Stegostoma tigrinum: one gene and its partner. The protein of the gene in region 1 binds, or shares a complex with, the protein of each later gene. Links are inferred from orthologs where the notes say so. Each region holds a gene or a part of one and is shown on either strand. Other genes may lie near its edges.

Evidence for each region. The genes of interacting proteins can lie anywhere in the genome.
Region 2: the proteins of wdr59 (region 1) and mios are in contact, whole or in part, in a cryo-EM structure (PDB 7UHY), measured with the Homo sapiens proteins. The link is inferred for Stegostoma tigrinum from reciprocal best matches to the Homo sapiens genes WDR59 and MIOS. Residues at the interface, in NP_085058.3 of Homo sapiens: Tyr871, Arg876, Glu877, Arg879, Ala880, Glu881, Leu883, Lys884, Pro889, Pro890, His893, Lys894, Gly895, Ile896, Glu897, Phe898, Gly899, Val900, Tyr901, Arg906, Glu908, Val909, Arg910, Thr912, Phe922, Gln923, Ala925, Ile926, Cys927, His928; in NP_001357005.1 of Homo sapiens: Asp705, Trp710, His711, Arg713, Ala714, Ile718, Ser721, Lys728, Pro729, Leu730, Ala731, Gln732, Val733, Phe734, Val735, Ser736, Cys737, Asn738, Phe739, Ile744, Lys780, Pro781, Leu782, Pro783, Leu787, Cys788, Leu789, Gly793, Pro795, Gln819.

What each region holds. Positions count from the first base shown.
Region 1 is NC_081369.1:11,740,200-11,748,227, reverse strand, and holds the start of wdr59 (GATOR complex protein WDR59), read left to right. Parts: upstream 1-4,986; 5' UTR 4,987-5,042; coding exon 5,043-5,096; intron 5,097-8,028. Other genes in the region: mixed lineage kinase domain-like protein, read right to left, coding at 3,705-3,753. UniProt on the Homo sapiens protein: As a component of the GATOR2 complex, functions as an activator of the amino acid-sensing branch of the mTORC1 signaling pathway. The GATOR2 complex indirectly activates mTORC1 through the inhibition of the GATOR1 subcomplex.
Region 2 is NC_081355.1:82,165,506-82,173,290, reverse strand, and holds the start of mios (GATOR complex protein MIOS), read left to right. Parts: upstream 1-4,663; 5' UTR 4,664-4,729; intron 4,730-7,785. UniProt on the Homo sapiens protein: As a component of the GATOR2 complex, functions as an activator of the amino acid-sensing branch of the mTORC1 signaling pathway. The GATOR2 complex indirectly activates mTORC1 through the inhibition of the GATOR1 subcomplex.

The sequences.
Region 1 (8,028 bases):
GAATTAACATTTTCAGTCCAGTTGATTCTTCTTCCAAAGACCTGTTGTGTTTCTCCAGTATTTTCTGTTCTTATTTCCAAACTCCAACATCGACATTACTTTGCTTTTACTTGTCATTTTGATGAATCTGGGCTGCACCCTTTCCAAGATCATTTTATCCTCCCTAAAGTGCAGAGCCGAGAACTGAACAGAATACTCTAGGTGTGGTCCAACCAAGGTTTCGACAAATATTTGGGTTAATTCGATCACTTTGTATTTAAAAGGCAGCATGGAACATTGTTATAATACTAGTTGATCGTGTACTGGAAATGTCAGATCCCAGAATGAGTCAGCTCCCAGAATGATACTTGATTTGAAAGACCATAAATTTTACTTCTCCTTTTATTTGCCGTGGAGATTAGTCATCGAGGCATACAGCATGGAAACTTACACGTCAGTCCAACTTGTCAACGCTAACCATGTCCCCAATCTAAAATAGTCCCACTTGCCTATGTTTGGCTGATAATCCCTTGAAACTTGCCTGTTCACGTACTTATCTAAATGTCTTTTAAATATTATAACTCTACCTGCATCCACTATTTCCTCTGGCCATTCCACACACAAACCACTCTCCATGTAAAAATGCTGCTCCTCATGTCTTTTTTTAAACTTTCTCCTCTCACCTTAAAAATATGCCTCTGAGTTTTGAATTACTCCACCCTCAGGAAATGACCCTTGCTATTCACCTTACCTATGCCTCTCACGATTTTATAAACCTCTATAACATCACCCATCAACCTCCTGCACTCACATGGAAAAAGTCCCAACCTAGCCAGCCCTTTATTTTTTATCAGTGAAACCCTTCATTTCTGGCAACATCCTGGTAAATCTTTCCTAAACACCCTCTGATTGCCTAATATCTTTCCTATAGGAGGATGACCAGGACTGTAAATTGTACACCAGAAGAGGCCTTACCCACATCCTGTACAACCTCAACATGATGTCCCAACTCCTATACTCAAAGGTCTGAGCAGTGAAGGCAAGCATGCTAAATGCTTTCTTAGCTACCCTGTCTACCCGTGATGCAAATTTCAAAGAATGATATACCTGCACTCCTAGGTCTCTCTGTTCTGCAACACTACTCCGGGCCCTACCATTAATTGTATAAGTCCTTTCCTTGTTGTTTTACCAAAATGTAACACCTCACGTTTATCCAAATTAAACTCCATCTTCCACTCCTCATCCCAAGACTCAATTGATCAAGATCTCTTTGTAATCTTTAATAACTTTCTTCACTGTCCACAATACCATCAATTTTGGTGCCATTCGCAAACTTACTAACTATGCTTCCCGTATTCTTATCCAAATTGCTTATATAAATGATGAACAAACCAGCTATTAGGGGTAGCACAGTGGTTCAGTGGTTAGCACTGCTGCCTCACAGCATCAGGGTCCCAGGTTCAATTCTAACCTCAGGCAACTGTCTGTGTGACGTTTGCACATTCTCCCCATATTAGTCTGGGTTTCCTCCCACAGTCCAAAGATGTGCAGGCTAGATGGACTGGCCATGCTAAATTGCCCATAGTGTTCAGGGGTGTTTATTTAGGAGGGTGGGTTGAATGGGATGCTCTGAGAGTCAGTGTGGGCTTGTTGGGCTGAAGGGACTGAATTATAAGTGTTAACTCACAGGGACTTGGGAAAAAAAACCTGACAGTGTTTCCTTATTCCAACCATCGGCCACATCCAGCTTTCCTGCTCCTCTGATGCTGCTTGGCCTGCTGTGTTCATCCAGCTCTGCACCTCGTTATCTCAGATTCTCCAGCATTTGCAGTTCCTACTATCTAGGAATAGGGTACTGAGTTGGATGATCAGCATAATCATAGTGATTGGTGGAGCAGGCTCAAAGGATCAAATGGCCCACTCCTATTCCTGTATTCTATGTTTCCATGCAAACGTTTCATTATTCACCGGGTATCTGATGAAGGCGTTTAACTCAAACCACATGATTTGCTTGAACTGATGTGTTTCGTTCACTGGTCCAAATGACTTAGTGACTTCTTTTAAAATAAGTAACTTAACAGAACTGAAAACACAAATCTATTTTATCATAAGTGACCATACAAAAATGGTCAGTTTCAGAGTAAAGTGATAAGATATACTATCACACACTGCTTTCGAAAGTTTCAGAAAGCTTTTATCTTTAGACAGTGAGTATTTGAGCCAGAATTTGTCTGTCAATGGAAAACATGTAACTGGAAATATTAATCTGAAGATGTCAGATGAATCCTTACTGCCTTCCTTCAACTCACATGAGAAGGTTCAAAGTTAATCAGATTCTCAAAATGTTGCTTATTTTCATCTTAAGTTTACTTGATGAAATTACGTCCACATGGCAGCATTTATACCTTTGCGGTACACCACTGAATAACTTTGTCAAAACCTCGTCTCAGTCAGCAAAGCCAGACACAATTAATTGTCATAAAATTAAACAATAAAAAAGATAAAGTTGCCATAGTCACAGCAGATCATACGGTTACTTTCTCACAAGAGAGAGATGATTGGTGATGGTTTAACCTGATTCTCACCATGCCTAAATATTGTCTAAACCTTGTCTGTTTTAAGCAGAACAATCGCATCCCCACCCTTGTCTGCCTTCCGGAGGGACCAATCTCTCCGTGACTCCCTTGTCCGCTCCACACTGCCCTCCAACCCCACCACACCCGGCACTTTCCGTGCAACCGCAGGAAATGCTACACTTGCCGCCACACCTCCTCCCTCACCCCCATCCCAGGCACCAAGAAGACATTCCACATCAAGCAGATGTTCACCTGCACATCCGCCAATGTGGTGTATTGTATCCCCTGTACCCGGTGTGGCTTCCACTACATTGGAGAAACCAAGCAGAGGGTTGGGGACCGCTTTGCAGAACACCTCCGCTCGGTTCGCATTAAACAACTGCACCTCCCAGTGGCGAACCACTTTAACTCTACCTCCCATTCCTTAGTTGACATGTTCATCCTGGGCCTCCTGCAGTTCCATAATGATGCCACCCGTAGGTTGCAGGAACAGCAACTCATATTCCGCTTGGGAACCCTGCAGCCCAATGGTATCAATGTGGATTTCACAAGCTTCAAAATCTCCCCTCCTTGCACTGCATCCCAAAACCAGCCCAGCTCGTCCCCGCCTCCCTAACCTGTCCTTTCTCTCATCTATCCCTTCCTCTCACCTCAAGCCACACCTCCATTTCCTACCTACTAGCCTCATTCCGCCCCTTTGACCTGTCTGTCCTCCCCGGACTGACCTATCTCCTCCCTACCTCCCCACCTATACTCTCCTCTCCACCTATCTTATCCTCTATCCATCTTCGGTCCGCCTCCCCCCTCCCTATTTTTTTCGGAATCCTCTCCCCATCCCCTTTTTCTAATGAAGGGTCTAGGCCCGAAACATCAGCTTTTGTGCTCCTAAGATGCTGCTTGGCCTGCTGTGTTCATCCAGCTCCACACCTTATTATCTCAGATTCTCCAGCATCTGCAGTTCCCATTATCTCTGAGAACAATCATCTCGCTGGTTTACCACAAAACTGAGGTTGATCATCCCTGCACTTACACTGTTCCTTCCTGATTTTGTCAGGTGTCCATTAAGCTAATTGAGATTTTTGACCTGGATACAATGCACCATTCCAATAATGATAAAACATTTCTCGTCATTTAATTTAAACTTATTACTTGTTAGGTGCTGTAATGGCAATCCTCTTCGAGCTTTGTCTTTGGACATTCTTTCCTCTCTTTATAATTGTCACTGCTCCACTCACTCCTGCTTCTATTCACCTGAGCCTCATTCTCGTCTGTCCTTTTTTGATGCTTGCGACATTGTGCTGAGCAGCCAAAGCAGCCCTGTTTCTTGCAGAGTATTTCTGGTCTCTTTCTTTGTTTGGTGATTAGGATTGTATTTGTTTGGGTCCAAAAGATTACAGAATTGAAAGAGGTCTTTCAGCCCATCATGTCCATGGTGGCTTTTGAAGCCAAAATTCATCTGCCAATCCTCTGTCTTGCATGTTATTTTTCAGACATAATCAAATTCCATCTTGAGTAACTTAATTGAATCTTTCTCCACCACAATCTAAGGTAATGCTTTCCAAATCGTAATCACGCGAAAAACTTTCCTCATGTTGCCATTTCTTCTTTTGTCAAATACCTAAAATCTCTTTCGTTGTTGAATATCTAAATAATACATTCCCTCTCGATTTTCTCTTCAAGGAGTCCCAACTTCCCCAATCTGACACCAGAACAAGAACTCTTACAAACAAGATCTGAAGTAGAAGCCTGATGTGCAGAGATTTGTCCATTGTTTGCCCTGCCCTCACCTACGAATTGATAAATTCTGCTGACGTTGGAACAGTCTACTATTACAGCAATGTGATTTTTTGGAAATAAACTGGTAGATACTGGCAGAAACAAAATAACTCGGTTAACAGGTCACAATTGTTCATCCAGCTCCACACTTTTGTAATCTACAATTGTTTTTGAGTCTTGTCGAATCTTGTTGAACAGTAGGAATGGAGAACAGGTAACAGTCAAGCAAAACACCCAAACACATACCACCACTGCGAACATCTCAGCACAGTGGCGCTCAAGGCGAGCATTCTCAATTTACCACGTCTGTTGCGGATGTTGTCAGCCGATACTGTCATATCGGTGCACAACAGGGATAATGATTATTATGTAAATAGCTGGGCATGCTTAAAGTTTGCAATGCTAATAATATAGCTTTGTTTCCTTTGTCTGTATTGCATTTAACACCTCAGAGGAAAAAATGGAGGTGAAAATATTCAGACTGGGTAGAGGATAAATGTTTAATTGAAGAGTAAGATCTTCAGACACTGTCAACGATTCATCATTGCCACCAGTACGAGATGAATCCACAGAACACACAGCACTGACACACCGCTCTCTGCTTCCGGGAAGGACCAGGCCCGGGCGGCGGGGCACGCAGGTCTGCGTCGGACGTCCTGTGCAACGTGATGACGTAGTTTGTTGTTGTTGGTGCCCTGCTCCGTTCCTGACATGGCGGCTCGCTGGAGCAGTGAGAATGTGGTGGTGGAGGTCAGGGACTCGCAGGTAACAACTTTGACCGGCAGCCGCGCCGCTGCCCGGGGCTCGGGGACCGATTTTGGCTCGCGCTGTCGTCGACTGGTTGCCGGAGTCTGAGGATTTGTCTTTGGCGGGGGCCTAAGCAACGTGAGCGCGCCTGCGCAGGACCAACGCGCATCCTCCCCTGACTATAATCCTCTTACCTTAAAATAGAAACAGAAGGTGTTGGAGAAACTTCGCAGGCTTGGCACCATGTGTGGAGAGAGAGAGAGAGAGAGAAACAATTCATGTTTCGTGTCAAAATGACTCTCTGGCCTTCTCTCATCGCCACTTAATTTCAAACTGTTCAAATAGTGCCTAGTGCACTTCTACTTTAGTTAAGATCTGAAACCTGGCTATTGAAGCTATTCTTGTTCGCGGTCCATTGATTAAAAATATCTGTAAATGTATTCAGACAGGTTTTGACACGAGGCTGGTTTCGTTAGAGAGAAGAAGGTTGAGAGGTGACTTAATTGAAACATATAAAATAATCAGAGGGTTAGCTAGGGTGGATAGGGAGAGCCTTCTTCCTAGGATGGTGACGGCGAGCACGAGGGGGCATAGCTTTAAATTGAGGGGTGAAAGATATAGGACAGATGTCAGAGCTAGTTTCTTTACTCAGAGAGTAATAAGGGAATGGAACGCTTTGCCTGCAACGGTAGTAGATTTGTCAACTTTAGGTACATTTAAGTCATCATTGGACAAGCATATGGACGTACATGGAATAGTATAGGTTAGATGGGCTTGAGATCGGTATGACAGGTCGGCACAACGTCGAAGGCCGAAGGGCCTGTACTGTGCTGTAATGCTCTATGTTCTATCTCTGGAGCCTGTGGGAATTAACTCAGGTCTTTTGGCCCATAGTTACGACACTACTACTCCGCCACAGGAGCTCTTACTAACCCCATTAAGTACTGAAGGACTTGTTCCGTTGCTGACTTGTTCCAGTAGGCAACCTCTTGTGCTCATGTTTCCAACATTGTTTGGAAGATAAGGAGGATTGATCTGTGACTTCGTTGTGCATACTGTTTGAGAAAATGTTATGGAGTGTGCAAGCTGTTTCAGTAAGGGGCCAGATAAGGGAGGACGCAGAAAATTTAAAAAAAAGGTTAATAGGCTGAGAGCACAGAATGGTTATAGCACCAAAAGAGACCACTTTTGTGCCCATGCCAGCTGCAAGAGCAACTGATCCAGTCCCACTCCCTTGCCTTTTCACTGTAGCCCTGTATTTTTTTTCTTGGGGGAAATGTACAGTTCCCTTTGAAAGCCATGATGGAATCTGCTTCCAGTGCATTCCAGATCCTAACCACTCGCTGCATAAAGTGGTTTTCTTTCAATGCACTTTGGTTTTTCAGAAATTAAAAGTGATGATGAGTCAGAGAGCAATGAGAAAAAAGGAATGTAATGACACTATATGATTTTAAAATTCTCCATCAACTCCTGTCTCAAACTTCTCTTCCTAAAGGTGAAAGAACACAACTTCTCCATCTATCCACAAATCTGAACTTGAACCCTGGAAATATATTTGTACACCATCTGGAATACCATAATGTCCTTTCTAAAGGGTTACAGTTAAGAAACAATGGAGATGTCCTTACCAGACTAGACATATTCTGTAGGCCACCAACTTGTGGAAAAGATAGAAAGGAGCAGATTTACAAGGGAGTCAGAGAGATATAAGAATTAGACAGTTGTTATGATGAGGGGCTTGAATTATCTAAATACAAGTTAGCATAAGAGTGTAAAAGGAAGTGAGGGGCAAGAGTCTTAAATGTTCAGGAATGTTTTGATGAGACTTATGGCTCTGGTCCGTGGAGGAAAGAAGCACTGTTCGGCCTCGTAGTTCTTGGAAATAAAGTAAGCCAAATGGATCAAGTTGGGGAATATTTTGAGGGCAGTGATCATTGTATCATAAGATTTAGGGTGGCTATGGAGAAGAACAAGGAAGAAACCAGAGTAAGAATCGATAACCAGAGGAAAAACAATTTTCATGGATTTAGAATGGAGCAAAGGTATGCGGACAATCCTGTTACTGAATCAGGGGCTCCCTTTAAAGAAAAGCGAACACCAACAAGGTAGATTCTTATGAAGGGGAAAAGTTAAAACAAACAAATCTAAAGCGCCCAGATGAAGGATTAAGAGGAAAAAGAAGTGTGGTCTTGATAAGTGTCAGGTGGTTAAAGAATTAACAATTAGGCTGAAATTAGAAAGTTTAGAGGAGAAATCCAGAAGCAAATCAAAAGTAATCTAAAAGACACAAAGATAGAAGTTGCTGGAAAAGCTCAGCAGGTCTGGCAGCATCTGTGAAGAATGCTGCCAGACTTTTGCTAAACTTTTCCAGCAATTTCTGTTTTTGTTCCTGATTTACAGCATCCACAGTTCTTTCGGTAATCCAAAAGACCTCTAGGCCTATTTATAGATAGAAGTTTGGTGAAATGAGTGATTAGTTGATTAGGATTTAGAGGGCACTGATTTAATGTAATTAGCAAAAGCAGCAATGGCAAAACAAGGAAAATCTTTTTAATGTGGTTAGGATCTGGAATTCTTCCCAGAAAGTGTAATGGGGTCAGGTTTGATCAAGGCATTCAAGAGGAAAACAGAATACTATCAGCAAAGGAGGTACATGCAGCACTATGGAAAGATGGCTGGGAAGTGGGACAATCTGTATTCTCCCATCAAACAGCCAGCGCAGAGGGCCAAATGGTCTTATTCAATCACCATTTTGATTATGGTCATTGGAGAAACAGGTATTCTCCTTTTGAGAAGATAAGGTTGGAGAGTTTCGGCTATGAAGAGAGGTTAGATAAACTGGATAAATTGTTTTCTGCTGGATTTATGGGGAAATACCTCATTGGGGTCAAAAAATTATTAGGGGCATAGATAAGAAGAAACCTTTCCCACGGGAGGGAACAATAACTAG
Region 2 (7,785 bases), on another chromosome or scaffold:
GATTACAGTGACATGGCTGAAAGAGGAATAAGACTGGCAGCTTACTGTCCTAGGCATTAGATATTTCACGTGTGATAGAAAGGGAGCTGGAAAGGGGGTGGGGGGAGTTGCATACCTGGCAATGGAGCATCTTACAGTTGTACAGAGGGAGGATACATCAGGAGATTCGGGGATATGGGTAGAACTCAGGAATAGGAAAGGTGAAATCACAATGCTGGGAGTAAACTACAGGCCTCCCTACAGCCAGCTGGGAGATATAGGAGAGAATATGCAAATAGATTTTGGAAAGATGTAAAAACAGCAGGGTTATTGTGGTGGTTGAATTTAACTTCCCCTATATTGACCAGGACTTACTATGTGCTGGGGGCTTGGATGGGGCAAAATTTTTAAGGACTATTCGGGAGGGATTCTTAACACAATATGTAAATGGTCCAAACAGGGAAAGGGTTATACTGGACCTGTTTTTGGGAAATGAGCTGGCCATGTGAGTGACGTTTCAGTGGTGGTTCATTTCAGTGGTGGAGTAGACACCATAATGCCGTGATCTTCAAGATACTCATGAATAGGAATAACAGCAGTCCTCGGATGAAGGTGTTGAATTGGGTTAAGGTGAACTGCAACAATATTAGGCAGGAACGGAAGAATTTGGGAGTATTTCAAAAAGCAGATGATTAGAGCTCAGGAGCGGCATGTTCCAGCGAGAATGAAGGATAGGTATGGCAAGTTACATGAACTTTGGATGACCAAGGATATTATGATTTTGGTCAAAAAGGAAAAGGAAGCATACCTAAGGCCTTGGAGGATGGGAATTGACAAAGCCCTTGAAGTATATAAGAAAGGTAGGAAAAAAACTTAAACAAGTAATTAGAAGGGCTGAAAGGAGCCACAAAAAGTCTTCAGCAAACAGGATTAAGGAGAATCCCAAGTTATTTTATATTTATATATTAAAAACAAGAAGGGTAGCCGGGGAAAGGATCACACCACTCAAAGACAAAAGAGGGAATCTATGTGTGGAGCCAGAAGAGATAGGTAAGGTTCTAAATGGAAACTTTCTGTCAGTATTCACCAAAGAGAAAGAATTGGTGGAGGATGATCTCAAGGAAGGGAGTGTCCTGTTTCTAAACCAACTTGTTATCAAAATTGAAGAGTGCTGTGCATCTTACAGTATTATGGTAGATAAGTCCCTAGGTCCTGATGAAGTCTATCCCAGAATATTGAGGAAGGCAAGAGAACAAATTGCTGGAGCATTGATAGATATATCTGTATCCTCTTTGGCCACAGGTGAAGTCCCAGAGATCTACAGAATAGCCAATGTGCAGATAATACAAAGATTGGTGCAGATAGTGAGGATACAGCAGGATATGGATCAGCTGGAGGCATAGGCAGAAAAGTGGCAGATAGAGTTTAATCCTGACAAATGTGGGGTGGATGCATTTTGGAAGGTTAAGTACAGTTGGAAATTATACAGTGAATGGCAGGACCCTTAGGAGTATTGATATGCAGAGGGATCTGGGTGTGCAGGTCCACAGATCCCTGAAGGCAGCAGCACAGTTAGATAAGGAAATAAAAAAAAGACTTATGGCATGCTTGCCTTCACTGGAAAGGGCACTGGGTATAAGGATAGACAAGTTATACTGTAGCTTCATAAAACTTTAATGAGGCCACACTAGGAATATTGCCTATAGTTCTAGTTATCACACTACCAAAAGGATGTGGATGCTTTGGAGACGGCTCAGAAAAAGTTTACCAGGATGTTGCCTGGTATGGGGGATTTTAGCTATGAAGAAAGGTTGGATAGACTGGGTTTGTCTTCACTTGAATGCAGGAGATCGAGAGGCAACCTAAAAGTAGTTTAGGCATGGCACGGAGATAATGAAAATTATGAGGCTTTTTCCCAGGACGGAGAAGTCAATTACTAGGGACACAGGCTCAAGGTGCACAGGGCAAGTTTAAAAGAGATGTGCAAGGCAGGTTTGTCACACAAAGGGTGTTGAGTGCCTGGAACATGTTGCCAGAGCAGGTGTTGGAAGCAGACACAATAGCAACATTCAAGAAGCACCTGGGTGAATATATGAATAGAAAGGGAAAACAGCGGTACGGATCCTGTAATTGAAGCCTGTTTTAGTATGGAAGGGCAAACATGGTAGCGCAGGGTTGGAGGACCAAAGGGCCTGTTCCTGTGCTGTATTGTTCTTTGTTGCTCCTTGTTCTACATTTTCAACGGGGCACAAGTGGTTATTGACTGATGAAGTTTTATTTTGGCTGTGGAATCTGGAACACAAACACTTTCTCAGGGTAAGGTGTTGATCATTTAGTATTGAAATGAAAATGCATTTCTTCACTTAAAGCATTGCATTACTTTATGATTCTCTAGTGTGGAGCATTGGGGATGCTCCATTTTGACAGGGGTATTTTTATGGCTGAGATATACAGCTTTTCAATCTCCAGTAATCAAGGATTATGTCGAGTGGTCTGTAAAAGTCCACTTGAGGCAGTTGATCAAGAGGACAGCAGAGCAGGGCTTCTGAGCCAGAGCTCATGCAGTTTGAATGCTTTTCTTTTCTTTTTTTTTGATTCTGTGTTCTGGTTTCTTTTTCTTCTCTGTTTCTTTACTTACCTCTTGTCCTGAACTCAGATGGCATTGGCAGTGGCAAGAGATCTCAGTGCAGACTGGTGGTCGAGGGCCGAAGGGCCTGTACTGTGCTGTAATGTTCTATGGTGGCAGTGAGTGAGCTCAGTGCGGACCTTGTAACAATGAGTGAGTGAGTGAGATATGACCAGGGCTCATGTGTTGATACTATGGCTTTAAGTATTGCACTTTGTCGTTTTTTTTAACAAATAAAGGTTGAAACAGATACTGAATGGTCTGCTCAGAGCCAATAAAGTAAACAGCTTGTGAGGGCTTTAATTTATTTTTAAAGTTGGCACAATAGAAACAGCCTAAATAGGTGGAGTCAAGCTCCCATAGAACCAGGATTTATTGTTTTAGCTTTCTGCAGTTGCTGGGGTCTTGAAGCTGGATGTGAAAGCTCTTATTCCTCTCTCTGTTAAAACTAAAAGCTGGGGTTCTCTTCCTACTGCTAGAATTGCATGTGAGGCAAAGCCTATTTTACTGAATTTGTCTTTGCCAAGAGTGTGTTAGTGGGATGTTACTACATTAGAACAGTTAATTAGTGGTAATTAATATACATAGATTATTTTGTTAAGCATTTTGATAAGCTAACTCTTTTACTTTTATTTTGTCTGTATTTTAACTGTAGAATAAAAATAAAGTATGTTTTGCTTTAAGTCAAGTAGTTTGACCAATTGAATTGCATCTGGAACACAATGCCTTACACATGCCTTTAAAATAAGAAAAGGTTAAGGCTCAGGCTATCTTGTTATTACATTTTGAAAGGATTTCCTCTGGTCTATAACATTTGCATGAGCCTTCACTTATGTTTCTGGGGTGAGCACGGGATCTACCATTGGAATTGGCAGCTACTATATTGACTGAGGTGTTGGTGAGGTAGGCCCAGCAGCTAAAGATGGTGCCTGAGTGTCTGTATCTTCATGGTTGGTTGGATCCGTTGCTGGTGGCAGGGAAGTGGTAGTGGAAGGGCATCATGGCCACATTGATGAGATGGGCCCAGCAGCGAAAGACGCGACTCTGACATTGGTGGGTCTGTCGGAGTGGTGGCGGAGGAGAATAGACCCAGTGGTGAAAGATGGAGCCTGAAGAGTAGCATAGATGGCATCTCATAGGCGGTGGCGAGGTGGTGAAAGAGGGATGGCGGTACAGGCAATGTTAATGGTGAGCTGTCTAAGGACTGATGGAGTCTGTTTAAACTATATCTAATGTTTTTCTTATTCTTAAACTATTTATTAAGGCACTGGATCATGGTGACGGTAGAAAAGCTTTTCACTGTATTTTGCTGTTTTCTCACTGTAAAATACACAATTAAAATCATTAAAAATAGAAAAAACTGCGGATGCTGTAAATCAGGAATTAAAATCATTCATTCATTCATGTGGAATGGACGAACAGACTGGGGGCAATGGCATTATGCTCAGAGATAATGGGAACTCAGATGCTGGAGAATCCGAGATAACAAAGTGTGGAGCTGGATGAACACAGCAGGCCAAGCAGCATCTTAGGAGCACAAAAGCTGATGTTTCAGGCCTAGACCCTTTTTCTGATGAAGGGTCTAGGCCCAAAACGTCAGCTTTTGTGCTCCTTAGATACTGCTTGGCCTGCTGTGTTCATCCAGCTCCACACTTTATAGCAGCGGCACTACGCGTCTCCTTTTCGTATGTGTGTAAGACTGGTGAGATTTGTCTAAGTGAATATTTGCAGCATAATACAGGAATACAAATGTTAAAAATAGGTTTATTGACAAGTTCTTATATCTACAGCACATTGTATTTTTAGTAACAAATAGAATGTAGGAAATCTATCGGGATAGGTCACGAGTCACATATTCAGAATGGTATGATATGATATGAAATGATATTTCTTTCATGTAACGTCATGTGTAAATGTATCTGCAAATCGCTGGATCAATGATTCTTCACCAGCACCCAACTTTGCAGGATAACCCAAAAACCGGCTACAGCCACGTGCCTTTCTGCTCCCGTAGGTTCTTTGACGTCAGGGATCACGTGAATAAACACTGCGTTTTCTCTTCCCCCGCTGGAAGAGCTGCGCATGCGTTGTTGGGAACGATCCAGGGTGCCGGGGAGCTGTTGGGTGAGTCTCAGGGAATCGCCATGTGGACGGGTACTAGGCCCTGGCGAGGGAGGCGGTAGGAGCTGGTTTGAGTGTGGCCGTTGGGAACATTGTTAGTAATGGTGCCATTGACGGCCGGCCGAGTGCCGAGTTTGAAGCTTGTCGCCGGATATTGGGCTTTAGGCCTGTGTCTCCGTTGCTCGGGAATTTATCCGAGTGTGATATGAATGATGCGTGGGCAGGGTGGAGTGTCTGCCTTAGTCCTGTGTGAGCTCCTGCTAAATGAGTGGAATCGTGATTTTATTTCGGAGCACAGTGCAGTGCTGGAAACTCCTCGAACATTACAGGAGTGCGAGAGAGAGAGAGCGCAAGACTTTTTTAATAGCAAAAATATAACTTGTTTTTGTGAATAAAGTATAAGTACAAACACAGTTTAACATTCTGTTCTGTATAATTTTGCCAATGAAGAAACAAACAATGATACACTGGAATTATGTCCTACAGAGCTACTGTGCAGTTGAAAGTAACATTTTTACCTCTTGCAGGAAGAAAGTACTTACCTTTTAATGGATTAAAGGGGTCTACCAGCTTAACGGGCTTCTGTTTCAGTTTGCAGAAAGACATTAGACGGTGACCTTTTCTCACTGTGCCTTCTGGCAGCTGTCCCAAGGTGTGTTTAGTGTGTTCCTCAGCCTGTAATACTGCAGCTTGGATTGTTTCAGTCTTCAGTACTCAGTTCTTTGCATGAGAATACCAACATGTTTTAGGCAAACCAAAGAGTCTTTCACTGAGTTATGTTGATTGTGTCTTCCATGTGTAGTCAGTGCTTGCCTTGGTCTTTGACATGAGGGACTGTCTATAGAGAATGGGGTCTTGTATCTTGGAGTGCTCAGGATGAACCTTGATGAAAAAGAAATCCCTGCATTGCTGTCCAGGCCTCCTTTGCAAAGGCATCACAGAGATGTGTGACAGTTTATTCACCCCTTCTTCCCCCACTTTGTGCTGCCACTTCAAGGGCAGCATGTTGTAGTGTAGAGTGATAATGGGAACTGCAGATGCTGGAGAATCCAAGATAATAAAATGTGGGGCTGGATGAACACAGCAGGCCCAGCAGCATCTCAGGAGCACAAAAGCTGATGTTTCGGGCCTAGACCCTTCATCAGACTTACTTGAAGGATCTGATGGACAGTGCCCTCAAGCTATGTCTTGATACTTGTCTGACAATTATGCTTTTGAGGCATTCTACCAAGTGACTTTAACAGTCTGCTCAGGAAACCACCTGACAGGATGAACTGTCTCCTTTTTCAGCGGAGGATGTTACATGCTGACCACTGCCTAATGGACTTGTGGTCAATGGTGTTTTCCTTTGCAAATCCTTTCCTATGAGGGACAGGTGGTACTGAACGGTCCAACTCCTTCGAGCAATCCACATTAATAAGGCTAAGCTGATCCCTTGTAGCATTAGGGACAGTTAGAACCCCAGTATGTAGTGACACTTGGTGTTTGTGATCAAGGGTCTATGCACAGTATGATGGAGCCACACATGAAGGCGGCCATCAGGGTGTGGGAAGCGTTGGGTACCCAGACTTTGTAAATAGTGTCCCTGTGAACACAGTCCCTGCCCACCTGTCCTGTTCGTACGTGATTGACAGCATTGCATTCCTCAGGAATACAGGGATCATCCTGCCTGGTACAGTACTACAAGTTTGTTAAGGTGAATTGCCAAATCCAGAGCAGACCTGACTCGGCTGGTGATGACATTAGACACAGGATTTTATAATTTGCATGCAGCCGTGAAATGGGTTGCCTATTTCAAGTTCTCTCTCTCTTTCCCCCTTCCACTTGTAGATGAGGGTGATATATCTTAAGGACTCACATGTGCTATCTGCCAGAACCATATTGTCACACATCTCTAGCAAGTCCTCGACGATCCAGTCCCACAGCACTGAATAGGACTTGGCCAGTAACCTGTTGCTTTTGGGAGCTTTATTCTTTTCTAAGGTCTCGAGGGCCTAAGTGGACATATACAGCATTGAAACAGACCCTTTGGTCCAACTCATTTATGCAGACTAGGTATCTTAAATTAATCTAGTCCCATTTGCCAGTGTTTTGGCCCATGTCCTTCTAAATCCTTCCTATTTGTATACCCATCCGGATGCCTTTTAAATGTTGCAATTGTACCAGCCTCCACTGCGTCCACTGGCAGTTCATTTTCATTTACACACCACTGTCTGTGTGAAAATGCTTCCCCTAAGGGCCCTTTGAAATCTTTCCCCTCTCACTTAAACCTAAGCCCCCTAGTTTTGGACTCTTCCACCAAGTGGAAAAGACTTTGGCTGTTCACTCTATCCGAGCATCTCATGATTTTATAAACTTATGCTAGGCCACCTGGCAGCCTCTGTTGCTTGGGGGTAAAAATAGCCCCAGTCTATTAAGTCTCTCCCTGTAGCTCAAACCTGCCAACCATGGCAGCGTCCTCACAAATCTTTTCCACACAGCTTTTAAAGTTTAACAACATCAATGGACACCAGAATTGAATGCAGTGTTCCAAAAGTCTCCTAACCAATATCTTGTACAGCCACAACATGATCTCCCAACTCTGATACTGATTGCATTGACCAACAAAGGGAAACATGCCAAGCACCGCCTTCACTACCCTGTCAATGTGCGTTTGTGGAACTCTGAAGCTGCACTCCAAGGAGTCTTTGTTTGGCAACACTCCTCAGGACCTTATCATTAAGTGTAAAAGCCATGCCCACACCTCGCATTTATGTAGATTTAAACCCCATCAGATGAAGGTCCCATTGTACTGAGGTAACCCTCTTCACTGTACACTATTTTTAGTGTCGTGTGCAAATTATGAACCGTACCTTCTATATTCACATCCAAATCATTTATATAGGCCATCTCATCCAGAGATAGTGGCTGGTACTCGTGAAAGAGCAGACAGGTTTGTTAAATGTGTCTGTTGCAGTCTTAACGTTACTAGGGCATTGTGTTCCTCTTTCCCCAACAGTGGCCACACTTAGAAAATAATGAATTGGCTGTAAACCCCGTTGATCTGTTCTGTGATCATT